Linked DNA regions of Alligator mississippiensis. The protein of the gene in region 2 purifies or fractionates together with the protein of the main gene of each other region. This does not show direct contact. Links are inferred from orthologs where the notes say so. Each region holds a gene or a part of one and is shown on either strand. Other genes may lie near its edges.

Region 1 (7,075 bases), on a different chromosome or scaffold from region 2:
ATGCAAAGTATCCACATTTCCATTCCAGGATCATTATTATTTATTTAAGACACTCAGCTTTGTGCAAGCCACACAAACACAAACAGCCTCTGCCTCAGAAAGCTTTCGGTTTGAATGAGATGGCCTTGCTCTGGGAAGCCTAGAGGAGAGAAAGCCGAGCTTTCAGAGGGTGAGGGTTTTAGTACTTCTAGCCATGTCTAGAAGTCGACAAAGTCATTTATGTCTTGGACAGGCTTTTTGGGATCCTCTAAGGGGGAAAAAAAAAGACTGTATTTGAGAGAACAGTTTTGCAGTCCGTCTGCTTGGAAAACACACCTGCCCGGTAACGTAAATGTGTTTATAGCAAAAAAAGACAATTAGCTTTTTAGCTTGCAATGTTTGTAGCCTCCCTGTCTGTTTTAAGCCAGTAATATTCCAAGCTGCAGCCTGGCAGACACGTTGCCAGCCGCTGCAATGGATCCCATCAAAGATCTGCGGAGTAATAGCACCGACAGGATGCATAACAGCTCCTTCTGAGTCTTCAGAGCATCATTAGGAGATGAATGAAATGCTGTGAGCAGAGGATGACTCAAGCCCTCTCGCTGGCTCTTGTACACAACACTCATACTCCAGCTTATTTTGGTAACTTGCCCTGACATTCCTCATCCCTCTAAATGTTTTCTCTCTCCATTGGGTAGCAGTTGGCTATCAGTCAATATGTGGATGCACGCGAGCTGTACATACGTATGTCTGGGATTATACATTATCCACAGGAAGGATTTATGGGGCTCTGATCATCACAGTATATGAAGAGTTAGCTCCAGCCTGTTATGACATTGATGGAAATACACAGCCTAGGTAAACTGCTCTGTGCTGCTGGGTGTGGGCTCTTTGCACCCGAGGAACAAAATTCTTGTTACGGACTGATCTGCCTCTGGGACCTGCTTGTTTTTATAAGCAGAGGCCAGCGAAACTGCATCAGCCCGTTACTGAACCTTGCTGTTTTCCAGTTCAGATTGATTATAAACGAACAGCCCGGCACAAGGCATTGCCTAGGGCCAGATGACCAGCTGAGAGTGACCAACCCCAGCTGCACCGAACCCCCAATTCCTCGGTATTGCTCTCGCGTGCCTTCTGTATTACTGCTTTGTCAGCGGTGACAACGCTAACTCCACTTTGCTTCTGGACTACGTGGAGTTGCAGACCTCCAGTCTGGTACCAAGCTGTCTGCAATAAAGGGAGAGAACAGTCATGAAATAGCAAGTGGTGTCTCTTCCCGAATCCCCATGCACCACTTTTATCTACAGACAGATAAACTGCATCCACCCAGCACAATCTCTTTGGAGAACATTTAACCCTCTAGGATCCTTGCTTAAGCAACGTGACAACCCCAGAAGGCACCTTTGAAAGTGTTTTCACCTCCTCCTTGCCTAAGGTCACGCAGAACCGGTCAAGCGAGCAGTATCCAGCGGCACTTAGGTACCACGCTGACGGGCAGCGGGGTGGATGGGTAGGGGGCATTAGCTGCCAGGCCTCCCTTTCTGCAAGAACCCAAAGCCTAGGCAGAGAGACCCACTTCAAGGCCGTCCTTCCCGGGCTGGCGGGCACAGCCAGCGGCTGCCCCCCACCCCGCTCTACCTCCTTAGGGGACCGCCCGGAGCCCCACACTTGAGGGGGTCCCTAAAATGTTGCAACATGGGGCCCCCTCCTCTTGCCCAGGGTCCCCGGGAGCCAGACCTGCCGCCGCCCGTGGGAAGTCCGCGCATCCAAGCCGGGCCGGGAGCGCAGAGAGGAGGGAGGAGCCGGCCGGCTCATCCCGGCGGGGGAAGGAAGGGGCAGAGCCGGAGCCGTGGCCGGTTCTCCCGCTCCCAGCCCCTTCCCCTTCCCCTTCCCCTTGCCCGCCCCTACCTGGCTGCGGGAGGCCGGGCTGGAGGCGGGTGCGGGCCGGGGCTGAGCTCCACACCCCGGCGCGCTCCAGGCTCCGCCCGCCCGCCCGTCCGGGAGAAACTTTCCCGGCCGCTCCCTCCGCGCTGCCGGGCTGGGGCTGGGGCTGGGGCTGCCCCCGCTATGGCTGCACCTGCGGGGGCCGAGAGCACCTGGGCGCCGGGTGCCGGGCAGGGCCAGGGCGCCGAGAGCCCCCCCAAGAAGAAGAAGTCCAAGCCGGGCTCGTCCGGGCTGCGCCGCGCCTTCAGCTGGCTGCGGGGCCGGAGGAAGAAGAAGAGGAGCTCGCAGCCCCCGGCCCAAGGGGACCTGCCCCCCAAGGGCAAGAGACCAGAGGAGCGGGGCAAGAAGGGCAAAGGTGAGCGGGCGGCGGGCGCCTCCCCGGGGGCTCCTTGCTGCCAGGGGCACCCCTGTCGCTGCCCAGTGGGGTACCCGGGCACGGGGACGCGGGGCGATCTCCGACCCCCCCCACGGGGATGTTGCCGCTTGGCTGGGTACGTTCCCGCGCACTGAGTCAGAAGGTCACAGAGGCCGGGAGGAACCTGGAGCTCCTCCAGCTTTTTCCGTCTCCAAATGGCACTCGGGCACCGCCGGCGTGGCCTTTCCTGCCTCCGTGGCAGCCTGGCGCGTGGGGCACTGCGTGCAGGATCCTGGGGCATGCTCTGCCCCCTGACTCCGGCATGGCGTCGGGGCATCAACCCTGGAAGTGAGAGTTTAGCTAGAGATGGGTGCCCCAAGCCCATGCTTCTGGCCTGCTGGGAGAGGAGACGCAGCTGTGACACCTACCCTACGTGCCGAAGCCAAGCTGCTGGAGGCTCAGCCCTTCGTCTCCGGGATGGAGACTCCTCTTGCAGGCCTCTGCCTGGCGTTGCGTGTTGCTGCGTTCCTGGCGGTGCTGTTCTTTTTAACATGGGTGTCCTCTCTTGGCGTGTGGCCGCGCGGTAGGAGCAGTGCAGTGCTGCTCCAAGTGCTGGGGGCAGTGTCCTTGCTCCTGTCCCCAGATGATGTCTCCCCTGCCTTGGTGGGGCCGAGATTCCCTTGGCCTCTGTAGGGAGGAGAGCACGAACCAGGTGCACGGCGCAGCATTTCTCCCCTTGCACTCTCCTTGGGCATTCATTTCCGGATGCGTGTGATGTGGGAAGTTGGTTTTTTGTCAACACTCAGTCAGGTGTTTGCTTGGAGGAGCACAGTGCGATAGGATGGAAACAGCCGAGGAAACACAAGTTGTCTTTCCCTAGGGATGTTTGAGAAAGGGCTGTCGTTCCCCATCACATTCTTCTGAGACTTACCAGCATGACACGTACCCCCAGCCTTTCCCTCAGCACTAGACGGGAGACTCCTCCCTAGCTTGCTCCTGCAGCCATACGGCTGAGGGCAAGCAAAACTCAGGGGCATCCAAACCCCAAGTCTCTGGGCTTGGGCCTGCACGTAGGATGCCCGCCAAAGGATTTGGAAGTAAGCCTCAGGCTGGGGTGGAGGATACTTGCCAGTAGCAGGACCACATATGGTTCTTGGACGATTCAAATGGATTTGGACCTGATCTGGCTAAAAACCAACCCAAAAAAACTAGGGACCTGGATATAACAGGGATGGGCTTAGCTTAAGAACCTGAACAGGAGGGAATAAAACAGCCCAGTCATGCTGCTGTTCCTTGCTGAGGCCTGTGAACCAGCTGCATGCCCTTGACATGGCTCTGTTGAGAGCCTGGAGCATCTCCCCAAGGCGTAAGTGGCTGAGAGCTGGGCATGGCTGGGGCACGAATGAGGGTTGCTGGGCCCACGTGGAACTGGGCTGAACAGTTCTGTGCCACGTTTCCGTAGCAGAGCCGCTTCTTGGTGTGCTGGAGAGAGGTGTGGATCCTACAGTCAACACCAGTGTGAACTGATTACTGTTTGTGCGCCTGATTAAATTCCTCTTGTCTGTTATTATAACATGCTCCTGTCCAAAAGGGGACCCTGCCCTGTTTAACCCCTGCTATTCCAGTTGCTTAGCCCTTCCCAGTCTGAGGATTTGGCCTTGAAGGCAGCACAGACCAAAGGATTCAGCCTAGGGTTGTAATCATGGCTCGGTTCCAGACCTTCTGTGTGACCTTGGGCCAGTCACATTTTGCTTTTCGATGTCCTTCTTCGTAAAGTGAGGCGATAGTGCCTCTGTGTGTCACGGGAGGGTGGGAGGATGCTGAGGCTCATGACTGGGCAGTATGGTCAAGCAGGAAAGAGTGACAGCTATAGATGGTACTAAGTTATTTATTAGTTTCTTATGTGCAATATGGGTGCAGCGCTGGGATCAGGTAACACTCAGCTGCCATTGCCTGAAATACTGACCAGGAGGAAGGCTAGAGCTTCCTAGCTGCATGCACTATACTCATGACGGGGGGTGAGCAGTGGGTAATATGCTTTGCCAGTGCCTGGGAATTTTCCATTTGCCAAGCTGGAGATGGTGGGATGGGACTTTGGGAGGAAGACTCTGGAATTGAGGCAGGGCTGGGTAGCCCCATACCACTCTGATTCCTTGGGTTGCTGATGGTGCATGCTTTACTGCTTCTCTAGATTTGCAGGGTGCTTCGGGCCCTTTCAAAAGCCTGTGGCATCATCCCCTGAAGTAGTCTGTGGAGCAGCAGTGAGCAGTCTAGGAATGCGAATCTCTGTCCATTGCACTCCTTTGCACATTGTGAAGCATTAGATGTGATTATAGGCAGGAGGCTGGGGTGCATGCATGCAGAAAGGGTCCCTATAGCCAGTACAGCTGCTGGCCAGAGAACTGCAGGGAGTGGGGCTGTGCTTGGCCCGGGCATGAGTTTATGGAGCGAGAAAATCACTCCAATGAGGTCAAGGGAGTCATGGGTCAGGATTGCATTCCCTGGAGCCTGGGCATCTCTCTGGTTGTGATTTGGGTGTCAGCTAGGGGTGGATTGCTTCACACTGAAATTATGGGAACACAAGACGGGTAGAAGTTTCCATAGTGGATCAAATCCATGTAGTCAAATATCCGGTCTCTGGCTGAGCTGCCTCAGAGGAAGGTGGAAGTCACGCTGTCGTGGGGCTGCCTGCCCTGCCCTCCTCGCTCAGAGCTGGCCTCCTGCCTGGGAGCAGAAGGATTCCTTTGCCTTCCAAAAGCCTGGAGTTTTAGAAGCTCCTGTCTCATAACTCCAGGCGCTCTTGTCATGCCTTCAAACGTCCTCACCTTTTTGGAAAGCAAGTCTGGCTGAGCTCGGTGTGGCAGCAGTGCCACAAGACATTGCCCTCGGTTAGCTTTAGTTTTGCAGCCTTTCCATCTTGCTGATGGCCCTGGCCTATGTATCAGCCTCCCAGCCTGGGTGTCTGCCTCTATCCACGTGCTCTGCCCACTGATGTTTCAGGGCATTCACAGATGGGGCCTGGCACTGTCAGGCACCCTTCCTGTGTCTTCAGACCCCCGTCATCCCCACTGTTACCTTTAAACTGCAAAATCTCCCAGGCAGCTGCTTGGCCAAGGCTCCACCTCCTGTTTATGAAACAAAATAAATCCTATCGCACTCATCTTTGCTGGCACACAAGGTACGGAAGGATACAGGGAGCCTTGTTAACCCTTTAGAGCTTCCACAGTTTGAGAAGGATCTGGTCTACTTAAGGGGGTGCCATCCATATAAGCCTTGTGCTCCCATCGAATTGATCTGCTCCTGTTGGGGATAACCCCGGAGAGCACTGGAAATGAAAAGAACCTGTGATCTTGCTCGCGCTTTGGTCAGTTTGTTACCTTCCCCAATTTTGACTCGTCCCTTTTAGAGCCTTGTATGAGTCCTATCTGAGCACCCTGCAAATTTAAAGCACACGTCCTCACAATTCCCTTGGGGGCAGCAAAGTGCTGGTAACTCCATTTTTGAGAAGAGGAACTGAGGCCTAGAAAATGAGATGACCTGTTGAAGGTTACAGAGGATGTTTAGGGAGAGCAGCCTGGGCTTGGACCCCAGCCCCTTGGCATCACTTTGCATGGGCTCCATTGCTTTAGGTGTTCAAGGGAGTTTCAGCCTTGGGGACAAGGACGAAGAAAAGCGTGTTGTGGAAAGTGTCAGTACAGACCCACAAACAGGGTTAAGGTGGTTGTTGAACCTTTCTGTACTGTTGCATGCACACCGGTACCACATTTCAGCAGCGCCATTTGAACAAAATGTCATTGAGGAGCAGTGCGTACTAGGGATTCTGGTCCAGTTTGGGATGTAAATTTCCCAGTATTGTTCTGAGCTCCCTTAGGAAAGAAAGGAATTGATGTAATCTGAATTTAATAGGGGTTTTATTTTGTACTAGTGTTTTCCAACAGCAATAGACTCCCCAGATGGTGGGGTCACTGTGATGTTAAAATCAAATACTAACTGCTTTCAGCTGGTTTGTATCAAGAAAGAGAATTTGCTGGGAATGATATGTGATTAGTTTATTGTTTGCTGTATCTGGTGGAAGTCCTACTGATACTCGTCTGTTTTGGAGGATGCTGGGTGTTCAACTATAATAGATCAGAGGGATCTAAGGTAGCCGTGTATTAGTGCTGAGGGCACTTAGGTGCTGTGCTTCAGCAGTTATGTACTCAGTTATGTGCCAGGCCTGAAAGTGCTGGGATGCTGCTCTGTAATAATAGTTGAGGTGGTGTAGTCTTATCTGCATGCTGCAGTCACTAGATCCATTGCCATACGATGGCAGACGTGTCGCCGCTGCGATGACACCGTTGTGTCACAGTGTGGGAGGGTTTCGGCTCACTTGATAGAAGCAAGGCAACGTAGCCTGCTGGACATGTTGCATTTGAGGCTTTCGTTCAGTGGGACTGTTGCCATGTATTTGGGCATGAATTTGTTAATCTGCAGAGAGTGACATTTCAGGAAATCTGAACAACAGGAATCTACTGGCTGGTCTGAGCTGGAAACTCAGCTCCTCTGCTAAACAAAGAGAGGTGTGTCTTCCAACCACAGCCATTCCACCTGGAGACACCTGGAAGAAATACTCTTGCAAATAATGTCCCATAAGATCCGATAAAACTACTTTGCTGGAATCAGATTTCTCTGTATAAGGAAGGTTTTCTTTCATAAGACAATATGATCATTGACTTTGACTCTAGCACAGAAGGGAACACAAGCCACTGGAAGGTGAAGAGCTGAGCAAAGATGAAGTCAAAAAGTCTTTACCTGCCA
Region 2 (7,208 bases):
AGCCAGATCCCAGTCCCTATTACAGGATTGTATTCAACTACTATGAACTTTGCCTTTCCTCCTCACCTTCTTTAGGAAGTCATGTAAAGAAGGTAAGCACTTTCATCTTAAATTAACTAAATTTAAAATAACCACCAGAAAGGCTGAGCTTGCAAGCCACTATTTGCAAGCTTGCTACTTGGAAATACCTGCACTATTTGAAAAGTTCAATATTGTAGGTCAATTAAAGGTTAGTTTCTTGCTAAAGTAATTAAAAGGTATCCAGGTAACCCTCATTATTTCACTCTGAAGCTTAGCTGACTACCTCCTGTCTCAGACCCCCAGCTCCCCCACACCATCTTTGAGAACCTCTACATTAAATAGAAAATCCAGTTTCAACACCGTAACCAGTTAGTCTGCTCTTGATATTATAACCCTTCCCTTAAAAAAAAAAAAACACAAAAAAAAAACCCCCCAAGATTGTGAAGCAGATAGGAAATTTTAATTTGGAACAAAAGCTTTGGAAGTTTGAAATGAGGTCAGTCAAGTCTTCTGAAGGAGTCCTGTATTATATACTTTGAGACTGGGAAACAGAAAATAGTTGATGCCTCTAAAATATGCTTGCATCATTACACATCCGATAAGAATGCAGCCTGTTGAAAGTCCCCCTGAATACAAAGACTTCTATTATTTCAATCTGCTGCCACTACACTTGCCATAATGCCTGCATCTGCATTCCATGGTGAATCCCATAGAAACCATTAATACCCTTCAGCCAAGCAAGCAGATGGTTCCCTTTCACCCTTATTGGATCAGAAAGTGATTCCACATCAGGGCACTTTTGTAAGATAGGCTAGACTTGGATAAAGCAAAAAAACAAAACAATACAATAGTTTCTCCCCTCCCCCTGAGACAACAGCATCGGCCCAAAGAAAACAAGCAGAATCTACATGATTACTGACAGAATTCCTCTGTGCGTTAACAAAAGCCTCTACAAAGTCCTGGGATCTCATTTATACACTAACATTTCACCTATGATACATCAGGCATGCCATACCTAGTCATGCAGATGACTTCTACTAATCCAATTTATTTAATAAAAAAAACAACCAAAACAACCCCCCCCACTCAATTTAATTAAGCTGTATCATTTGCAAAATATTCCAAAATAACCCCTACATACTTTTTTTTTTTAAATAACCTTGCAAGTTTATTATTGTATAACTGAGTTTTAACCCTAAAAGCATGTTGGCATCCTGGATTAAAAAAAAAAAATTAACCAAAAATTCCCCCAAAAACGCTCTAAGACTAAACAAAAAAATCCATATGAACGTCTACAGCTTTTCCAGTCTGCTTTTTTACCACTAGGTGGCTTTTCATCCAACTTATGTATTATGCAAGCTTTATACACTTCAATTTAGGTTGGCTGGGCCCCGCATTTAAGTGAAAAGAGAAGGGAAAAAAGCAAACAAACAAGAGAGACAAACCTGTCTGAAAGACTGTAGGGTGGTTTCAGCTTCTTCTCGCTGCTCCATCTCATCTTGCAACCTGAAAGCAGGAACATAAACAAGGGGTAAAGCCATGCAAGGAGGAAGCCACCAGCCCCTGGTGTAAAACCTGAGTGGAGCCACACCCATTCAGAGGGAGAGATGGAGCATTTGCTAAGAAGCATCCCATGCCTACACTGCCCTGGGGGGCAGAGCCTTTCCAAGTCAGCCTGACTAGGCTTTTCATGCTTCCAGTTGACACAACTGTCCCAAAACCAGACATGAGCATCACAACTCATTCAAGGGATGCAACAAGTGGCTGACTCCAAGTTGGGCTGCTTGAAAGCTGCCTTCTGCAGAAACCCAAGCTGTGGAGGAGCGACTTTCCTTTGGTAAAGGAAGGAAACAGACTAGCCTGCCCATCCGCCCAAGCCTCCCCCTTCAGGGTGGGGCTGAAGACCCAAGATCTGGTGCCCCAGGTCTCACCCCACAGCCCTAGGGAAACCTCTCTCTGGAGGCCGGGCTACAGTCACAGAACATTAGAGTTGAAAGGGACCTCAGGGTTTCATAACCCGTGGGTTGCAACCCAGCAAGAATATATGAAAGGGTCAGGCGTAAACTTTAAAAATGGGTTCTTTTAAAGGAGAAAACGTGTGAAACCACAACTTCTCCCTCCAGGCTGGCAGAACTGTGGGGCTAGGGCAGAAGGTCAGGGGCGAGGGGCAGCGGGTCGGGACTGGCCACCCGCGCCCTTGTACAAGAGGATGAGAAGCGCTGATCTAGTGCAGCCCCCTGCTGCGTAGCCAGGGGCAAGGATGGAGACCCCAGAACCGCTCCAGCGCTTTCCCCCACCCTCCTGGGGAGAAAGTTTTCCTGTTGTCCAAGCTCAGCTCCCCTCCCGCCCTGCCCCGGCCCCCCGGGCACTTACTTCTCGCGGAGCTTCATGATGTCGTCGGCCAGGTTGTCGCGCTCCACCTCGACGCGGGCCTTGTCGTTGGTGAGCTCGTCCACCTGGCGGCGCAGCTCGCGCATTTCCTCCTCGTAGAGATCGCCCAAGCGGGACGTGCCCTTGCCCTTGAGCTGCTCGAGCTCGGCCACCAGGATCTTGTTCTGCTGCTCCAGGAAGCGCACCTTGTCGATGTAGTTGGCGAAGCGGTCGTTGAGCTCCTGCAGCTCCACCTTCTCGTTGGTGCGGTTCGCCTTGAACTCCGTGTTGATGGCGTCGGCCAGCGAGAAGTCCACTGTGTCGTGCAGCATGCGCGCGGGCGGCAGGCTGCTCCGCAGCCGCACCGACGTGCTCCTGGTGGCGTAGCCGCCGGGCGTGGACGAGAGGCGCACGCCGGCGCTGGGCCGGGCGCTGCCCAGCGAGTAGCGGCTGGACGACGTGACATAGCGGGTGCCGCCGCTGGAGCTGGAGCGGGCGCTGCCGCCGCCTCCGCCGCCACCAAACATCCTGCGGTACGAGGAGCCCTTGGTCGTGGTGAAGCTCATGGCTGCGGCGTCGGGCGAGCCTAGCGGTTCGAGCGCAGAGAGCGGGGCGCTCGGCGCGGCGCGGGCTTTATAGCCTGCCACGCCCTGCCCGCTGCCAGCCAATCGGCGGCGCCGGGCGGGGCGGGGCGGGGCGGGGCGCGGGAGGGGGGGCCTGGCTCGGGACGTGGCGGTCGGGGGAGACCCCGGCCCCGCCCGGCCCGGCCCGGCGGGACTTCGCGCCTTTTGGCTGGCGCGGCGGAGCCCATCCGCCCGCGCCCCGCGGCTGCTCGGGCGGCGGCGCTTTGCCGGGCAGGGGGCGCCGCATCCCCGCTCGCAGCCCGCCCTGCTCGGCGCGGCCCCGCCGGCGCCGGGGCAGAGGCACACGGCGCTGCCCGCGCGCGTCCCCGGAGACATGAAAGCTGCTGGAAGGGTTGGGCGTAGCCGCGCTGGTCTAACGGCACTGGCAGACAAGTCCTTTGGGTAAATCCGGTATCTTTTATTAGCCCGACTCAAATAGTTGGAAAAAATCTTGGGAAGAAGAATCTTTCCAACTATTTGAGTTGGTCTAATAAAAGATATCGGATTTACCCAAAGGACCTTGTCTGCTTGAAGCCTTGCCCTTCCTTTCCCCCTGCGGTTGCTTATTCCGCAAGGTAGAGGCTGAACGCCCCGGAGGGTATGGCCTCAGCTGCGCGAAAGGGCCGTGGGCCCCAGGCTGAGCAGTGAAAAGCGTCGCTTCTCTGGCGCCGTTTCTCCCAGGGCTGAAGCGCAGAGACCTCAAGCAGAAACTGCTCTTCAGCGCGGTTTTCCCCTGAGCTGGGTGAAGGAACAGGGTGGATTTGCTAGGGCCTGGCAAGGTGCAAATGCAGGTTTTAGTTGGGCTTGGTGTTGTTCTAGCCAGAGGTGCACAGGAGTCAGCACTTGATGCTCATAAATAGAAGATGGTTTTCACCGTGGCAGCACGTCTGGAGACCAAGATCTGGCTCTTGCTTCCTGGCTCAACCCTCGGTGACTGGGGACCCAACAGGAGCCTGGCCACTGACTCCAGTGGGCACCAGCCCAGGCTTTGAGCCTTTCTAAATGAGTGCTCTGGTGAGCTGTGGAGTGTAAACAGCAAGGAGCAGGCATTCTTTATACTTAGGCAAGACTCATCCTCTCAGATGGGAATTTTGACTTAAGAAAGTTGTGCTCTCTGCAACTGTGAACAATTATTCAGGTGCTACAAGGAGTAGGAACTAGGAAGAATGAAAATTTACATTGAGTGGCAGGGAAAACTCCCTACCAGCAAACTGTATTTGCTTATAAAATTGTCTCCCAAGGGAAGACTTGGGGACTCCTCCCCCCACCCCCCTGCCCCATCGTTAAAACCCAGCCTGGCCTGAGCACAAAGGAGTGAAACTTTGCAAGACAGATCAGCTAAGTGATCTGAGCAGGAGTTTCCATATTTGCTGTGAAAATATAATTGACATAATGTAATCCTGTTATGATGTATTACATGTACTATCATAGTGCCTAGTGTGCTCTATCACAGACAATGAGCCACTGTTTTGTTTTATTGTGTTTTTACATCTCCTCTCATTTGCAACCCTATTAAAACAAATACTTCTACTGGAAGTGCAGATAGACAGCTGATGATGGAGCTGCAAAGCATTCTCCCCTCAGAGGACACTGGAGTCAGACTTACTTGTTCCCTGTGGAGTAGTAATCAAGCCTGGAATGTTCTGTAAAGGCTTTTGTAAAATAAGGGAAACTGCGCTGTGCTTTGATTCTGGATACTACCTGGAAATAAAAGCATATAGTTTGGATCTAAATGAAAGGTTTTCTTGTGGACCTCTTGCCACCCATCTTCAGACCTGCCTTTCTTTTATTCACTGCAGCTTAGTCAAACAAACGAAGCTGACAAGGTTGAACTACAGAAGTGCTTGCAACACAAGACTTGTACTATAGCTCACTTCATTCACTCATTCAATAGGAGGCAGGGGTCACACACATACATGGCATTCCTGAGGCTAACTGTACTGGCATCCTAGCCTGTATTCAGTTGTGCTGTCCAGCTCTCTGAGAGCTCTTTATTTCAGCACATCAAGTTTCAACCAGAACCCTTTGGGAGTTGTCTTAAGGTTCTGGCACACCCTCCTTCTGTGAGAAGGCAAAAGTAAGACAGCTCCTATATCAAACAGTTTATAGACTAATGATACTTTATTTGGGAAACACTGATAGTTTAGCTGAATTTTTAAAGGGGAAGAGAGAGTGTACCACACCCAGTCAGCCTTCTGCCATTTCTAGCAGAACAGTATTTATTTGTTTCACAAAATCCCTCCATACAGTGAGAATCCTGTTGTCAGTATTTATTTTCAAATAAATCTGAAAACCCCATTTTTTAAACATAATTTGTCATATGTTCTTGCATTCCTGACACATGCAGTACTTGGCCAATTGCTACTTTGCTTTTTCGACTGTTAGATTTCCTTAGAAATGCTACAAAGTTGTCAGCTGGAATGGAAATAGTAAGACCCTCTAAGCCATTTGTTGCCATGCTCTCACACAGATACATAAGTGAAAGAAGGTACAAGGTATCTTTCCCCTATTACAAAAGGGGATCTACGTTCTGAAGTTCCTACACTCAGAAGAGCACAAGGCTTGCACTCTCAAAGTAGTCTGAAAACTTCAAGAACAAAACAATGGTAGTGAGGAACTATTATATCCCATTAGAAGTGGACAAGGATTTTAGGTAGTCAGGACACACTGGCCAGATCTGGAGTTTTACCACAGCACAATGGCTAACATGCATACTTTTAGGAAAAGTGCCATGGGATTTTTAAGAACCATAACTGTCAGGAGGCTACCTTCAGTTCTCATCAATGGATAAAATACGTTAACATAATACTCTGACAGCTGTAGTAACAGTCTTGGAAGCAGGGACTGGAACCCAGGTGAATGACCTCATTACTGATGTCTAGAATCATGTTCCCTCTCACTTGTACTCTTCCACTCCCTGGTCTCATAAATCTTGTATTCCTTGCTGAACCATGGCAAGGATTCAGCAGAAGGGGTGGAGAGTACCCCCTCCCACATCCCAGCCTAGCTTTATGTTAGAACACCTCCTTAGGAAGTGGAAGATGTGGCTTTGAACCCCTTCAGGATGAGAAGGAGATGCAACCCAGTTTCCCCATTTCTGCAGAAATCCTCTAACCATTATCCTAGCGATCCTGAACAAGGATGTCAGAGCACCCTGATGTGCCTTCAGATGCTTTCAGGAGTGGTGCAGGGTGCTGCATAATGTTAGCATTGTTAGGTGTGAAACATGATTCACAAAATAAACCCAGAGATTTCAAACAGGAATCTATACTGTTGTAAACATTCTGACTTGCTGTCTTTCTGAGTTCTTTGCAACAGAAAAGTTGTTCTAGTATTTTTCTGTAGTCAAAAAACAAGTAAAAGCTAAGAGCTGGCATTTTCCAAAGGGAAAATGAGTCTCATAAGGGGTGCCTGAACTCTAAAGACGTTGAGAACCACTGCAGTAGGTTATCCCTTTGTGAACCCATGGTTTAAAGACTATTGTGTCTTTACCCAAATATTAAACAGGCTTTTAGATTAATATCTTAATTGTGTATTTTTACTAGACAGACTGAGACATTTTCCATTTTTTAAATATGGACCATTTATTCTTCAAAGGCAGTGCATATTTACTTATCAATGTTCAAAATTCAGAAAAAATAATTTAATGAATTTAACTTATGTTGTGCAAGTATACCGTAGTCACTTTTGTTCCCAAAAAATACTGTGAAGCATTGTTGTTTATTTCAGGAGAAGAGGCTAGAAGCCACATTACCCACTCCCAAGGTAAGGGCCCTAATCATTGGGCTGTGGAGTCATTATCCATTTTTCTCTGTCTCTGCTTCCTGATTTCTCTTCCTTCTTCCTATTCAGTTATGCCATGGAAAGTGAAACAGCACAAAATAGTATAAAAAGAGGAACTGAGAGAATCCTATTCTAAAATAATCTATGTCCTGGTAATTATTTTCTGTGAGATTGGAAATGTGGGTTCAAATCTTCTCATGCAAAGGAGACCCTATTCTTAAAAAGATCTTCCCAGAGCCACCCATCCTAGCCTTCAAACAAGCACCAAACCTCGCCAACCTCATCACCAGAAGCAAACTACCTCAAGCCCAGAACACACCAAAAGAATCCAGACTGTGCCATGACAAGAAATGCAAAACCTGCCAACACATCTCCACCACTCCCACAATTACTACACCCCACAACAGAGCC
Region 3 (7,829 bases), on a different chromosome or scaffold from region 2:
AATTTAGGTTAGATATTAGGAAAACTTTTCTCACCAGGAAGGTGGAAAAGCACTGGAATGGGTTACCTAGGGAGGTGGTGGAGTTTCCATCCTTGGAGGTTTTTAAGGTTTTTAAGGCTCAAGTTTCCATCCTTGGAGGTTTTTAAGGCTCGACAAAGCCCTGGCTGGAATGATCTAGGTGGGGCTGGTCCTGCTTTGGGCAGGGAATTGGACTAAATGTGACCTCCTGAGGTGCCTTCCAACCCTCGTGTTCTATGATTCTGTGATCTCAGCACTGGCCTTTGTTGTTTTAAAACTATGTGCACCACTGCCAAGTGGCTGAGAAAATTTTACCAATGAAGCCGTAAGTTAAATACCATTTTTGTAAGTGACACAGTAGAAATGAAATGGAATACTACAGTTAGTGATTACTTCCATTGTTGGAAGAGTTCCCTTAAAAAAACAGACAATTTTTCTTTATCTGAAAAGGCATATATGTATGCCTACAGTTTATCTATCTATAGATATATACATATCTTTTATTTATCTATATCTATCTATATAGATAGATAGATATATAGATATAGATCTATATATAGATATAAACTGTAATCTTTAAAGTTTGCTGTCTTTCATGTAAGCTGGATATAAATCAGCTTTGTACATAACCACCACTACAGGTTTTCTTTTAGGAATTCTTTATCCATAAGACTCCACCTGTAGTGAAAACTCATCAGTTAATCATTGACTATGGACACATGAACCAATATATAGCACATGGGATTCTTAATCCAGCCAGCTTCTTAGGAACTAACTCATATTGTTAGGAGGAAAACCTGGCATGGGAGCGTCTTTCCCAGGAATGAATCAAGATTTGTTTATTAATTTCTAAGGAAGCAAAATGTGCAACATATGTTGGAGTGGAAATGTAATGACAATTTATTCTATGACTTTTTTTCAGTCCTTCATCTGATGGCCTGCTCTATGCCTACTTAAAATGCACAATGTAGGAGGGATTAATATGTTTTATATAGTCTTAAAATGAGTATGATAACAAAAACCTGTAAGTTCAGTTAAGAGCCACTAACCAACTGAAGGTGTAATCCATGTACCACTGACTTGGAAGAAAAATGGACTGGACCATAACTCTTTAAATTCTCTGTCTGGCTGGAATGAAGACTAAAATCTTTCAAGGAGGTGCTCTAGCAATCTTCAAGATTCATCTTATAAGATGGTATTAGGGTATACGTAGCACCCTAATGTGTGGGCTGACAGTATCAAGTGGGTGTAGGTTGTTTCCTGAAATGAGGTAGGGCTCATTGCTTCCTTTGCTGTAGCAATTTGGCATAAATCCGTGCCTGTGAAAGGGGTATGTGGTAATCAGTTTACATCACAGTGACTTGTTTCCTTGACATTCTTGATGAAGACTGGGACGAGAGAGGCTGATACCCCTTTGGACTGGCAAGAAACAGGAATAGCTCTGAGAAACCAGTGAAGTTATACCAGTGTATGTGAAAAGAGAATCTGGTCTAATGACTGCAAATTGAGGCAATGCTAATGAACTAGTTCAAATAACCTTAGAAGACAAAAAAAAAATTACTGTGCAACAGAACAGGTCACTAGGAATATTTACATCCTGTAATTGCTCCCAAGATGTTAAAGTGACCCTTGTAACATCCTGGTACCAGCATTTATGTGACTCATCAATTAAAGGAAAGGTTTATTAAATTGAACAAATGAAGCACAATAATTACTTTATTCTACCGGAAGTGGATATTAGTTGTTACACCTGCTCTTATTGCTCTACATATAGAGTGGGAGGGAGCCGGCTCGTTGTTTACTAGTTTGAATTAAAACCAAAACTACAATTATGTTTTCATACATCATAATAGCACACACAGGTGCCAGTGAAAACAAAACAAGCTCTTCCTTTTTAGATAAACCAGGCCACTCAATGACAGCTTTCAAATTAATTTATTAAGAGCATTACTTCCTTGGTTATGAAATTCCCAAAGTATTAGAAATAGCAGGTGAAACACATGACCCCTTAGCCAATACTGTGGTGTACTAACTTCTTTCAACCTTTATCACGCTCAAAGGGGCTTGAGAACTATCCCCAGTGACTCGACTGATCCCAATGAACGGAGGACACTCAGGACCTTGTACGATTATAGCCAAATCAGAAGCATTTTCCTTTCAGTCTTTTAGACTATCTATTTGTGTATGGTTTGTATTGCACTTATCATGTTCTATGAAGTATTTCCCGGCTGGTGTTCTGTGAAAACGTAGTCTCTTTTATTCTTATGCCTTTACAATTGTTATGTTATACTAGACCAATGCTTTTTAACCTGTGGTCCACGGACCCCTGCAGATCTGCAGCCTATGTCTAAGGGGTCTGCGAAAGATGACTATGATCGATCGAAAGTATGTGAATACCCACCCTTACACCTCAAAGGAGTCCATGTCTCCATTTGAAATTTCCAAAGGGGTCTGCAGCTCCATTCAGAATTTTTTAGGGGTCCACAAATGAAAAAAGGTTGAAAACCACTGAGCTAGGCATGAAAATTATTTTGCACATCTGCATGACTTAGACTGTGGTTATACTGTTCCTGTTTGGTGAACCCCCTATTCAGTAAAGCGCTTGCATAAATGTGAACCTCAGTGTTGTCTACAATGGGGTTGTCCAGATGCTTAACAGCTAAGCACTTGCTTCAGTGATTTTCTGTATCAAGGCTTATGTCCCAGTGATCTCCATGTAAAGAACAAATTGTTGCAGCCTAGCACTATTTTATGGATCTGAAAGCACAATGTTGTCCTTGCAAAACCACTATTTATTTCACCTTCGTTATAATTTTAAAACTATTTCACTCTAATTGTTCCAGTAACAGAACTACCGAAGCTGTCCCCAATCTGGTTAGGCCTTACACATTATAACATACCGTATTACATAACATACATATTATAACATACTATATTAATACAAAATGTTAATATGAATACAACTTTCTTTTACAAATCATGTCCATCACAGACTAAGAAAAGTTGAGAACAAAACGAACCCACGCTAATGCACAAGAGGGGATCAAGCACGATGCAATTAGGATAAAGCAGCATCACAGTTTTTAAAGTGTTTCTTTTCAGTGCCAAATCACAGGTCTACTCTCACTCAAATAGTGAATGCTATTAAACAAAAGTTAAAACAGCTAGGAGGACAGTTCCTTGTGGGCAATTAAGGCATACTAATACAAGGCCTAAACATCTTGAGTACAATCCTTTTAAATAAAATCTTTATGCCTGGAAAGGACTGGCTCCGGTTCCTTTCTGGAAATATTAGCCTGGCAGATGCTTCCACGAAAAGAAGCGCTGTCCAAATGAATCTCACTTTATTTCTCATTTTCTTTTCTTTTTTTCCTACAAGGATTAGCTGGTCCTGGGCACAGAGACAGAACGGTCTAATTGAGGTCAGCGTCGAGGCACCTTGGCAGGAAAACACAGGGAAGCTCGCGCTGTCGGTATCTATGTTGTATCTTTTCTGTAGTTGAGTAAAAGACCATTTTCCCCTCTTCTCTCTACCAGTCCTGGCCACCCCGACTGCCACCTTCCAAAACCTGATTCACGTTTAAAGAATACAGGTTAAAATGCTCGTTTGTTTTTTTCCTACAAGGATTAGCTGGTCCTGGGCACGGAGACAGAACGGTCTAATTGAGGTCAGCGTCGAGGCACCTTGGCAGGAAAACACAGGGAAGCTCGCGCTGTCGGTATCTATGTTGTATCTTTTCTGTAGTTGAGTAAAAGACCTTTATTCCCCGCGCTCTACCGGGCCTGGCCGACCCGACTGCCGCCTTCCAGAAGCTGACTCATGTTTAAGGAATACAGGTGACAACGCTCATTTGTTTTACAAACTATAAAACCATGTAGCTGGAGCGGGATGCCTCGTCGCAGGGCTTTTACGGAAGAGCGGAAAGCGAGCACCGTGGGAGCTCGAGCGCCGTCACCTCGCTTGGTGCGACGCTGCCACACGGAGCCAAACCGGTCTCAGGCCTCGTGTAAACACACGGGCGGACTCGATGGTAGACAACAGGCTCAACAGGTAGCACGGCCCCACATGCGACGTTGGGCACACCGCGTGATCCTGGCACGCGTGGCCAAGCGCAGCTCATGTGGGGCCTGTTCCGGTGTGCGGGGCCTCATCCCAGGTCCCCAGGGACCAATGCGGGGCCAAATCCTGGCGTATGGAGCCAGGCGGCTGTGGCACGGGGCCTGATCCTGGCGTGAGGGGCCTGACCCGGGGCCCACCAGATGACACCATGCTGAGGCCCTAAACTAGGAGGCCCCACGTGAAAAAACAATCCACGAAAACGGATTTTCGTGGAACTTGATGATGAACAGCTGTTATTTCCGCACACCTGTGTGGACTCAGTGCGGGCGGGACCAAACACGTCTCTTTTGTCACGTGAGAACAAAATTGGTCAGTGTTTTTTCCTCCTTTACAGCCCCCTCACGCGGGCGGCGCACGCAACAGCTCAAGGCCGGGATGCGGGGGCGGGGCCGGGATGCGGGGGCGGGGCCCGATCGAGCCCGGCCCTGAGGCGGGGCCAAGGGGGAGGCCGGGGCGGTGGCAGTTAGGAGGCGGTTGCGGGGGGCGGGGCCTGGGCGGTGACTGGACAGAGGCGGTTGCGGGGGGCGGGGCCGGGGCGGTGACGGTTAGGAGGCGGTAGCGGGGGGCGGGGCCGGGGCGGTGACAGTTAGGAGGCGGTTGCGGGGGGCGGGGCCGGGGGTGGGGCGGCCGCGCGGGGAGATGATGTCAGGCAGGCCGGGCGGGCCGGCAGCAGCAGTAGCGGCGGCAGCAGGAGCGGCGGCGGTAGCAGCGGAGGAAGAAGAGGCGGAGGACGAGCAGGCGGCGGCGGCGGGATGTCGGCGCCCCGCGCCGTGTCGGACCCGCAACACGCGGCGCGGCTGCTGCGGGCGCTGCGCTCGTTCCGCGCCGAGAGCCGCTTCTGCGACGCGCACCTGGTGCTGGAGGGCGCCGAGATCCCGGTGCAGAAGAACATCCTGGCGGCCGCCAGCCCCTACATCAGGTGCGGGGAGGCCTGAGGGGCGCGGGGAGGCCGGAGGGGGCTGGGCCCGGCAGGCCGCAGGGAGCCCCTCCCCGGAGCTGTCGTGTCCCTGTGTCCAGGCGGCGCGTGTGGAAAGCCACTGTGCTTTGAGAGGACGTCGCGTGTCCCTGGGATGATGCTGCCGGATTGCGCCGTGTGCGACGCCCGCTCGGACCGGTCCTGGAAGCAGCGGTGCGCTCCTGGACGCGTGTGGGAGACACTATCTACATGTGCAGTGACTGCGACTCAATTTGAGCCGGAGTAAACTAATCCCAGCGTGTGTTTGAGTGCTGCTGGATACCGCTTGTATCTGGCGGGCAGCACGGTTTGTTTGTCTACTGCACCCTCACTGCCAAGCACGTGTAGAGGGTGTCGCTTTAGTGCGTGGCAAATTACTCCGCTGCGCGGTAAAGCCTCTTGTGTGGAGGGTCCCTGCGCGGGGAGGGCCACAGAGCGGGCGTCGCGGGTGCCGGATCTGGTATCGAGCAGGGCAGGGGAGGTCTGTGGCTCAGTCTGGCCCATGGACCACCCCCAGCATGGGCAAACCGGGTGGCCTGGACAGAGAGGGTACCCAAAAATGGTAATTTTAAAAATTATTTTTATCATTATCCCCAGCCAAAGGGGGTCCAATACTAAAAGTTCACCCGGCGCCGCCAGGAGCCTTGGTACGGTGCTGAATCCCGGCCTGCAAGGCCAGACCTAACCTGATCTAAGAACCCCTGATCAAACACTATTAAAAGCCAGATTTAAAACAGCAAGGCAGGGAAGTAAAGCTGAGTGGATAATAGTGGGATTATCGGATAAAGAGCTGTGTCTCAACACTAACTTGTTTTGTTTTCCTGGTAACCTGTGTAGATTTTGCACGGTGCTCGCAGGACAGCGCACGGGTACCACGCAGCCGGCTCTGCCTGCCTTCGGCCTGTCAGGCACCGAGCAATGTTAGCATTTTGGGTTTGGTTGTTTTGCTTTTTGTAACTTCATCCGACAGTTTGACTCTGCCAGAGTTTGTAAACTAGTCATCTTGCTTCATTATTGGTTTAAAGATCAATAGAGCTGGATTTGGCATTAGATAGGCTCATTGTTTATGTTGCGGATGACGGCTGCTATTTTGTTTCTGGCAGCATGTGAGCTTCCCAGGGAGCGTTCGTGGGTTCTGAAGTACATCCATTTTTAACTTTGTAAATTTGATTGGGGCATCCAAAAGCTGTTTCTGTCTTCATGCTGACCTTTGCAGCTCATTTACCTTGACAGTAGGGGAGATCTACTTTGGATCTCAGTAGAGATACAAAAGCCGGCGTAGGCCAGGGGAAAATGAGCTGTTGGTAATGGGTGTCAGCAGCAGGTGCAGCCAAAATTGTGCTGAGACCAGGGACCAGCAAGTGCAGGGAAGGACACAGAATATGCAGCACAATCGTGGCTTCTGAATTGGTGTAGAACAGAGTTGGTCCTGGGCTGCATGTGCATTTAAACCTCTTCACTAATGGTTCTGGTTCAGCAAGTGCAGGGGAATTTCTCTAGTGTGATCTTGCCCCTCGGCTCAGGGTCACATCGACCCTGTATTTGGGGTCAGGAAGGAATTTCGCCCCGTGGTCAGATTGATACGGACTGCTTTCTTCTGTAGCAGGAGGCATCACCTCTACCCGGGACCTCTTGAGCTTATTTTGACAACGTTTCATAGAAGCAGGATGTTGGTTGCTGTGGTTCACCTGCTTTACCTGTGGCAGGTTAGGGTGTTAGTTCTACACTGGTGATTGATGTCAGTCTTACATAGAGCTTAAATTATGGTTGTATGGGATGGTGTGGATAGGGATGCTCCTGCCTCAAGCAGCGAGTTGGACTAGATGACTTCTGGAAATCCCTTCCAGCCCTAGTTCTTCAAGACTCAAAGCCGATGAGTCCAGTAATATAAAATAGTCAGATTATGCCCCTTCTTGATGTATTTATGTTACATGATTGAGGGTGAGTACATGGATTAAAAACAATGAATTTCCATAGATTACTTTGTAAAATTTAAAGGATTTTTCTGCCATTAATAGATGGAGCAACTCTCTTTTTATTTTTTTTTAAGTGGAAATATACTTCTCAGTATTTTTTTTATTATTATTATTATTATTATTTAAGTAAATCCCAAAACGGTAATAGAGCCCTGCTAATATTCTGAGATGTTCATAGAGTCAGGCCAGTTTCACTCTCCCTGCACAAGTTGTCATGAAAACCTGCATAAATTGAGCTAGATATGGGTGAGGTGTATATTAAAGGACTCGAACAGTTGTTGTGTGAACTGGGATCCATCAGGCAACACTGCTTGGTTTTAGACTTCAGATTGCTTGACTTTAGGTTTTGCAAATTGTTCCAAGTTGTTATGTATAATAAACAAACACTCACTGAAGAGGAGCACCTTGGCACAATACTGTTAACACTTCATGTGCCTGTCAAAACTTCACTTAATGCCCAAGGGGATACTCTTTGCACTGTCATAAATCAGATATGCTGTCTTATTTGAACGAAGGAAAAAGAGGTATCACAGATGCTTTACTGCTCAGCGTTCACTATGTTTATGGCAGTTATACACACCTTTTCAAATAACACAGCAGCAGCTTTCAAAGGTCTTAGTGAAAACTGAATAAACTATACAGAAAGAAATATCAACTTGGTAGTTAACTTCTAAATGTGGCTTTGTGATTATGTAGTACCAGAGAGTTAAAAGACATATTCCCTAACCTGTTTGATGGCCAGTCTTTTTGGGCAAGTATG
Region 4 (7,698 bases), on a different chromosome or scaffold from region 2:
ATTATTAGGAAGATTCCTAAATGTGTATGTATGCTTTAGTTACAATGAAAACAGAACTTATTTCTTTAGTCCTGGAAGACCAAAACATCAAATCACTGGGTTAGGGATTGGCAACATTTTGGGGCAGAGTGCCAAAAACACCCATAACCTTGACTTGTAAGATGTCGGCATGCCAGAGACAGACAACAGGGAGGCATCAGGGGCTTGATCCTTGTTGTTACAACGCAGCCCTGGTTCCTTCCCCACCATCTGCCCCAAGGTGCGTGTGTCAAGCAAAATGCCTTTGCACACTCTAGCACCTGTGCTGGGAGTTGTCTGCCCCTGTTATTAGGGGTGCACTGATAAAGATTTTCTTGGCTGATACCAATGGTTGATTATTAACCAGCCATAATGGGCCAATACTGATTCAGTAGCCGACTTACAGGAATGCAGCCCAGAAGCTTGGGGGGGGGGGGGGGGGGGGGGGGGAGAGAGAGAGAGAGAGAGAGAGAGAGAGAGAGAGAAGGGGCATGATGGGGGCTGACTGAGGTCCCCACAGTGAGGGAGGGAGTGGGGCAAGGGCAGACGCTGCCCAGTCAGGGCCGTGAATACGACCCTGCCAGGAGCAGAACAGATCTGCAGGTGGCTTGTCCAGGGGATACAGGGCAGCTCCCCGCCGCTGCATGCACCCTTGGGAGTAGCATGGCAGGGCATGTGCCCCCCCAGATTTGTGCACAGGGTGAGGGTGGTCTGCCCACTGTGGGCTCAGGGCCAGGGGCTGTGCCAGCCTCTTCCCGGCTGCATTTGGGGTGGGTGGGGTGGGGCAGGTAGCAGCACTGGGAGGGGTGGCTACAGGGTGGGCTATGGCCACCCCAAAATTCACCATAGCCCCCCCTGTAGCTACCCTTCCCAGCACTGCCACTGCCTGCCCCACCCCCTCCAGCCCTGAGTGCTCAGCACCCTGCCAGAAAGAGGCTGGAGCAGCCCCTGGCCCTGCGTCCTCAGTGGGCAGCCCACCCTTGCCCTGCACACAAATCCAGGGGGGCATATGCCTCTCCTGCTTCCCCTGGGGGTGCAGTGCAGTGGTGGGAAGCCACCCCCTTCCCCATCCCCCTGAACAAGCTGCCCGAGGCTCTGTCCCGGAAGGGTCATATTCACTGCCCTGGCTGGGCCTTGTGGGAGCCTCAATCCGTCCCCCCATGCCCCTTCCCTCCCCCATGCCATTTCCTCCCCAGCAGGATTACCTTCAGGATGCTGCTCTCCAAGCTGTCTGTGTGCATGCACGCAGCATTTAATGGTCACATTATCGACTACACTGGCCAAAAAAGCTGATTACCAACAATGCTAATTTGCCTTTTATCACTGCCAATTTGATATGCCACTGATGTATCAGTGCACTTCTGCCTGTTATATACGACAACAAATTAATGCACATTGCAAAAATCATATTTGTTTTTGCTCTCATCTTAAACAGAAAAACGCAGCCCTTGGACCCCTGGCATATTAGTAAAGCTTACAGCTTCTTTTTACAGGAGAAAAATGTGCATTGTGTTCTACATAACAATGCACTGCACCCTGCGCAGCCCTCTTCTCAAGATCTTGGCTCTGCCTGTGGTTGGCCCAAGGGCAGCGATTCCCCTAAGAAACCCTTGCCTCTTGCACCCTTTCTGGTGCATCAGGACTATATCCCCGCTTTACAAACACTTCGGTCCTGATGTAAGACATTCTAGAAACACCAATTGGGAAACGTTTGCAAAGACACCCACCTTCCCACACAGGTCTAAGGGGTTGCACTGATCCTGGCAGGGTCACACCAAGACCTGCTGCAAAGATGGAGAAGGAGAAGCCACGCAGACATGACTCCTTCCGAGTTGCTGTGATGGCAATGAGGGCAGGTGCATGCAGCAGCATTGCCGGGTCTTAAATATGAAATTATCATATTGTAAGCACAAAATTATCATATTTGCTGGAAAGCTATCACATGCTGAAACACTATGCAAATAAGTACATAAATAAATCGTCTTCTTTACTTTATATTGTTCACTGCAAGCTGCCAGTGAGTGAGAGCTGGGTCATCACAGTCTAAGCATTTCTGTGTCTTGAGTAGGACTGTCAACTCTGTTTGAATCTATTTTGGGAAGTTTCGGGAATGCCAACGTGCCCATGACACACAATACGAATGTGCCTGCATGTTACGGAGTACAGCGCACAGACTTGGTCAGGAAGGCAAATACACGACTATTAAATTTTTAAAACCCACTGAACTACTGCATAAATCAGATTCAACATTTAATATTTATTTTAATGAATGCCCTATCATTCATCCCCTGGGTGCCTCTCTGCAGTCTCCTGGAGGTTTATATCTGGAGACTCCAGGGCAATCCTGGAGAGCTGGCAACCCTAATCTTGAGGTGAGCCGTCACAGCAAACCCGAGAGTCAGTTTTGCCAGTGACTTAGGTTTTCCACCTGCTGCGTGCCTAAGCTGCCTCCAAAATGATCCTACAATTTTGAACGCTTGTACTATTACTGTTCGTACAACGGGGTAAACGTTCGTACAAATCCGACCATGACCGTGCACCTGGCAGCACCGGCGCCGCCCCCACCACGTGGGCAGTGGGGGCCAAGCTGGGGGCATCCGTGCCTAGAAGGAAGCAGAGGCTCTGACCTGCTCGGCTGCGCCAGCCGCGGGCGGCCGGGAGACACCTCTGACCCGGGAGCCAGGCCATAGCGCGAAGTACCCGCTCCCGCGCCGCTCCCCCCCCGCCCGCGCGCACCGCGTGGGGCCTCCCGCGCTGGCTAATGACGTCATCCGCCAGCGCCTCCTCTCGGCCGGGGACCAAGCGGAGGAGGTGGCGGCGCTAATCTCCTGTCAAAAAAAAAAAAAAAAAAGCGGCGTAGAGCAAAACGACCTGCTCCGCCCTCACTGTGGGGGCCTGGATTGGAGTAGGGCGGTTGTTGATGACGTTGAGGGAGGAAGTGGGACGTGCTCCGGGCGCCTCGCTTCCAGAAGGTTCCGGCCGCAGCGGCGCGGCGGGGTCGAGGGGCGGGGCCGCGGCGGGGGTGGGTCAGGGGCTGGGGCTGGGGAGGCGGTGCGGGGCGGGCAGCGGAGAGGAGGGGCTAGCGCTGGGCTGCACTGCACTGCACGCTGCGCGGCCCGCCATGGACCCGCGGAAGCTAAGCGAGCTGCGCTCCTTCGTGAAGCTGTGCAAAGAGAACCCGGCGCTGCTGCATTCCGAGGAGCTGCACTTCCTGCGCGACTGGGTCGAGAGGTGAGGCCGGGAAGCCCCTGTCCTCCCGAGGGGCGGCCGCCGCTGCGCATGCGCTCACCCCCTCCACGGCGGAGGGAATAGCGTCTGCGCTCCAGAGTCCCGAGGGGATTGGGGGGGCGGGGCCTGCTGTGTTTTGAAGAAGCGGCCCAGGAGGGGCTCCCAAGTCTTGAGCGGCTGGGGAGTGAGACGGGTCAAGACTAGGGGTCGTCCCGCGAGGCGAGGAGGTCGCTTCAGACTGAGGGAAACAAGGACTTTGTGTCTCCCGCAGGGCTCCAGGAGGGGGCAGCTCCTTGCACCAACCGGGAGCGTGGGGGTAGGGGAGCTGCAGAGCTCCTCTGGCGGTGGCCTGCCTCGGCCCTGCCCCGGGATGGAGCCCGAGGCCACACGTGGTGGGCGGGCAAGTGAGCGAACCTTGGGTTTCACGGAGCCTTGACACTGTCACGGGTGCTGGCTGGGGGCTTGGCCAGCTTCCAGCCTGTCCTTGGCGGGGGAGGGGACATCCCTTGCTCTTGAGCAGGGGAGTGAGGGGCACTGGGGACTTGCAGTCCAAGATTCCCAGTTCACTCTCCTTTTCAGCCTCTCTTTGCCACTGTGTGACATACAGGCCTTTTTATTGGAGGGTGTTCATCAAGGGGCTAGTGGGACTGCTCGCGAGGAGTGAGTACAGTCTCCCAAAACAGGAGGCTACATGTGACCTCCTTTACAGGGGTTAGAAAACGCAGCTGGAGTCCAGGGTCAGCTCTGACAAAGTACTGGAAAGTTTCTGGTCTGTTGAAGTGGTTCTTTGCAATCTGTTGAAGAGCCAGGTAATACAGGAGCCTGGGCAGGAGGGATCTATGGTCTGACCCCGTCAATGGTAGTTCTTACATTCTAGCACAGTGGTTTTCAACCTTTTTTATTGGAGGACCCCTTTGGAAATTTTGACTGGAGGTACGGACCCCTTTGAATTGTAAGTGCAGGCATTCACTTGCTTTTGATTGATCAATCAGTCACTTTCTGCGGACCCCTTAGACATAGTCTGCAGACCCCCAGGGGTCCACAGACCACAGGTTGTAAACCACTGCTCTAGCACCGCACACCAACTGCCTCTTGCTACATGCATGTGGAACCCCTTGCTTCAACCAGCCTCCATTTCCTAAGACCAGGCAGCTGCTGTACATGTGCACTGTATTTATGGCTCCAGGTAATGTTTTTATTTTGGATTGGAAGTGACCTAGCCTAGGTGTTTCTCACAGTGAATATCTCTGTATCCCACCCCTTCCCCTCCCCCATCAGAATCAGCTGTACCCAGGCTTGGTGAGTTTGGAGAACCAGAGAGAGAGTGTCTTTTGAGTCCTGACAGCTAGAATCACTCTGTGTGTAGATATGGGGAGTGCAGGGAAAGTGCTTGGCTGCAAGGAGGAAGTTCATGTTTTTTTATTCTGTCAGACTTAGTATCTGTTTAAAAGCCCATACTTGTAAAAAAAAAAAACAAGTAGAATGTCTTAGACTGCTATCTTAGGTGTCGAAGGCACCGTAGGGGAAATGACTGTAATGCTCATTTTGCAGCAGTTCAGTTAACAACTCATCTTAATCAGGCCCCCCTGTTTGGATCATCTTTTTTTTTTGCTTTTGTAACTGATTATTTCAAGTTGAACATTCACATTTAAACTCCTGAATGCAAGAAACTTTCTCAATGAACATCAAACCCTCACTTTACATGTTTAGATGTACAAGTATGCAGAATTCATTGGGTTGTTTGTTAGAGTTTTTTAAAGACGTACTCTTATTTTCTTGTATGCAACATGCCCTTGTATACAGTATGCATCCTGTATTTGGAAGGCAGCATGAAGAAAAAGAAATCTTTATAGCAACAACTAGGGAGCCATGCCTGCTGTCAGCCCCACGCACCAGATCAGGCCTGTTGGGTTGGACCCATTGTGTGACAGGGTCAGCCATGGAACAGCCATGCATGACAGTCAGATCCAGTGTTGTGAGGCCATGTCACCTGTGGTGGGGGGAGCTCCCTGTGGGTCTGGAAATTTGACACCAGATCTCCAGACCCACAGAGATCTGTATTTCTCACATAATATGCACCCCAATTGTTTGTTGGGGAAGGCACAGGTTATGCGCAAGTAAATACAGTATTCTGATATTGTCAAGAAAAAATCCTTAATTTTCAGGATCTTGTATTTATTTCAGTTTGAGGTTATTCCGCATATGAAAACAGAAAACTTGCCTTTTCTTCAGTGTGTGGGCATTTGCTTGGGGGTCTTAAGTCACATTTTGCAGATAATACAAGGTTTCATGTCTGCATTTATTGGCTTTTTGGGGTTAATGATTGAAAAACTTAGAGTAAAACAATAGTGTCGTCAGTCCCTCCTCAGGTTGAGCAGATGAGGCAGTCTTTAAAAATGTCTTGTAAACACTTTTCTCCTCTTGTTAAGCTTTTAGAGTAGCACTGACATACGCTTAAGATCCATATGTATCCATCTAATGCTCTTAAGTTCTGGGTAGTGTCCAAGTTGGCACTATTTGTAGTGCCAGTAACCATTATACAGTCAAGCTGTTTAGAACTCAAGTGCTAGGTTTTCTGAGCATGTAGAACAGGAGTCTCTCGGGGCTGCAGGCCACGCACTATGCCTGTTTGTACTCATCATCAGTACAGTATTGATCATTTGTGTTATTAGGAGAGTTGAAGAAACAGCTAGTGGAGAAGTTGTAGCTGCTTTCTGAAAGGGAAGAAAAGATTAGTAGGAACGTTGTCAAGTGTACAGTACTTATATCTAGGTTGGGTTTTTTTAAGGCGTTTTCAGAATGCAAAACTCTTGATATAGCATACACCGAGTGACTTAATTTACCAAGGGTGCATGCAGTGCTTTCCAGTAGTTAGAGGACATACCCACTTACCCTAATGATCTTTATTAAGCTGTACTTTCCGAACCCTGCTCATCTAGAGTCTTAATGCAGTAGAACAGTTTGTGCTGTTAAAGGGACTGTGCCAACATAAACAACATGTCTTTCTTACCAGTGGTGAAGAACATTTAGATGCTGTGATGATGTAATAGATTTTCTTTAGTTTTCTCTGTGCCTGCATTGTCTTGTGAATATTAAGATTCAGTAATTTTTAAATCTAGTAAAAATTATTAACTTTTTTTGAAGTAATTTAGATAAAATTTAGTTAGCATTTTCAGCTTTCTTTACTCAAACTTTGTTTATAGATCAAAGAAAAGAACAAGCAATTTCAGGCAGATTGACAGATATTCTTTTTGAAAAAAAAATGGGTAGTGTAAAATAGGGAGTTTAAAACAGAAAGGCCAACTGAGTTAGAACTAACTTGCTACTATAGGACAGACTTAAAGGAAGGGTGCCTGGCTTTTTTGTTCAGTGCTTTTACTTTGACAACAGTGATAGTTTGGTTTTACTTCTACCTTTGGGACAGTCTTTTCTTATTCTAAGCTCAAATCCTGCTGAAAGGCCTGTACTTGATTAATCTAGTCTTTAATTTTTGTTCTCCCTATTCCTCCTCCTTTCCTAAAAAGCATGGGAGGTACGATACCACCTGCTCCAGCCAGTGCCTCTGAAGAGGAGACAGTTAAGGTAAGAGTGCATTTTTATCCGGAGGGGGGGTAGTTTGACAGAAAAATCATAGTATTTCAGGGGGAAAACCTGTTCAAAGTTTTCAGTGGGACAAGTGAATTTATAGAAGCTTTTAAATAGGGCGTCTCTACAGAGTTTGAACTGTGACAGTTTCAGGCTGGTCTGTTTGCAGTTGGTAGTGAATACCTTTTTGCCAAAGACCACTCTTCCCAGTGTACCTCAAGTGGTGTTTTCATCCAGCTACTACACACACTCTGAACAAAAGAGTAGTCCTTCCCATCAGATGTTGTGGACGCTGACAGTTTAGCCAGATTTGAAAAGCAGTTGGACAGATTGTTGGAGGCAAGGTGCATCTAGTAGTTACTGAGCATGAGAGTTACAGGTACAACCTCTAAATCAGCATTTCCTAGACACTAAATGCTGGAGGCTGCAAGTGAGAGAGGAACAGTGGGAAAAACCCTGGTCATAGCTCTGTTCACTCTCCCTTTCAGCATCCACTCTTCCACTGTGACACAAAATACTTAGGAAGATGAACCTATGGTTCAGCCCACTAAAGGGCAGTTTTAAGAAGAACTGCCCTGAAGAATTCGCAGTCTAAGCTACTATGAGATGGTAGAAAAGTATGCAGACATATAGGAAGTATAAGGAAACTGAGACAGTTGGTCAGCATGATAGGAAATGGCAAAAGCAGCTGAACTGTTAAATGTTTTATACTCATTGCAGCAAAAGATATTTTCAAAGTATAATTTAATAGAGGGTAATGAGGTAGCTTTGGGGGATGTTTATGGTAAGCTTTAGAGAAGCGCTGTTTATGTGAAAGTTTAATTAGTAGGTAATGAAAGTTGGCATTGTTGGCCAGTTTGAGGTGGG

Evidence for each region.
Region 1: the proteins of VIM (region 2) and SYNC purify together in Homo sapiens (affinity purification with mass spectrometry; 3 studies listed by BioGRID and IntAct, counting the BioPlex papers as one, with this or other methods). This does not show direct contact. The link is inferred for Alligator mississippiensis from reciprocal best matches to the Homo sapiens genes VIM and SYNC.
Region 3: the proteins of VIM (region 2) and GAN purify together in Homo sapiens (affinity purification with mass spectrometry; 3 studies listed by BioGRID and IntAct, counting the BioPlex papers as one, with this or other methods). This does not show direct contact. The link is inferred for Alligator mississippiensis from reciprocal best matches to the Homo sapiens genes VIM and GAN.
Region 4: the proteins of VIM (region 2) and XPNPEP3 purify together in Homo sapiens (affinity purification with mass spectrometry; 3 studies listed by BioGRID and IntAct, with this or other methods). This does not show direct contact. The link is inferred for Alligator mississippiensis from reciprocal best matches to the Homo sapiens genes VIM and XPNPEP3.

What each region holds. Positions count from the first base shown.
Region 1 is NC_081829.1:5,341,741-5,348,815, reverse strand, and holds the start of SYNC (syncoilin), read right to left. Parts: upstream 3,014-7,075; 5' UTR 2,707-3,013; intron 2,279-2,706; coding exon of another isoform or gene 2,047-2,278; intron 1,958-2,046; exon of another isoform or gene 1,888-1,957; intron 1,871-1,887; exon of another isoform or gene 1,717-1,870; intron 1,689-1,716; exon of another isoform or gene 1,381-1,688; intron 1,207-1,380; 5' UTR 1-1,206. Other genes in the region: NHSL3 (uncharacterized protein KIAA1522 homolog), read left to right, coding at 2,047-2,278.
Region 2 is NC_081828.1:181,330,029-181,337,236, reverse strand, and holds the start of VIM (vimentin), read right to left. Parts: upstream 3,004-7,208; 5' UTR 2,958-3,003; coding exon 2,395-2,957; intron 1,528-2,394; coding exon 1,467-1,527; intron 1-1,466. UniProt on the Homo sapiens protein: Vimentins are class-III intermediate filaments found in various non-epithelial cells, especially mesenchymal cells. Vimentin is attached to the nucleus, endoplasmic reticulum, and mitochondria, either laterally or terminally.
Region 3 is NC_081833.1:70,096,605-70,104,433, forward strand, and holds the start of GAN (gigaxonin), read left to right. Parts: upstream 1-4,810; 5' UTR 4,811-4,890; coding exon 4,891-5,057; intron 5,058-7,829. UniProt on the Homo sapiens protein: Probable cytoskeletal component that directly or indirectly plays an important role in neurofilament architecture.
Region 4 is NC_081827.1:97,768,096-97,775,793, forward strand, and holds the start of XPNPEP3 (xaa-Pro aminopeptidase 3), read right to left. Parts: upstream 3,003-7,698; 5' UTR 2,707-3,002; coding exon 2,646-2,706; intron 1,899-2,645; coding exon 1,746-1,898; intron 1-1,745. Other genes in the region: ST13 (hsc70-interacting protein), read left to right, coding at 3,140-3,249, 6,771-6,828. UniProt on the Homo sapiens protein: Catalyzes the removal of a penultimate prolyl residue from the N-termini of peptides, such as Leu-Pro-Ala. Also shows low activity towards peptides with Ala or Ser at the P1 position.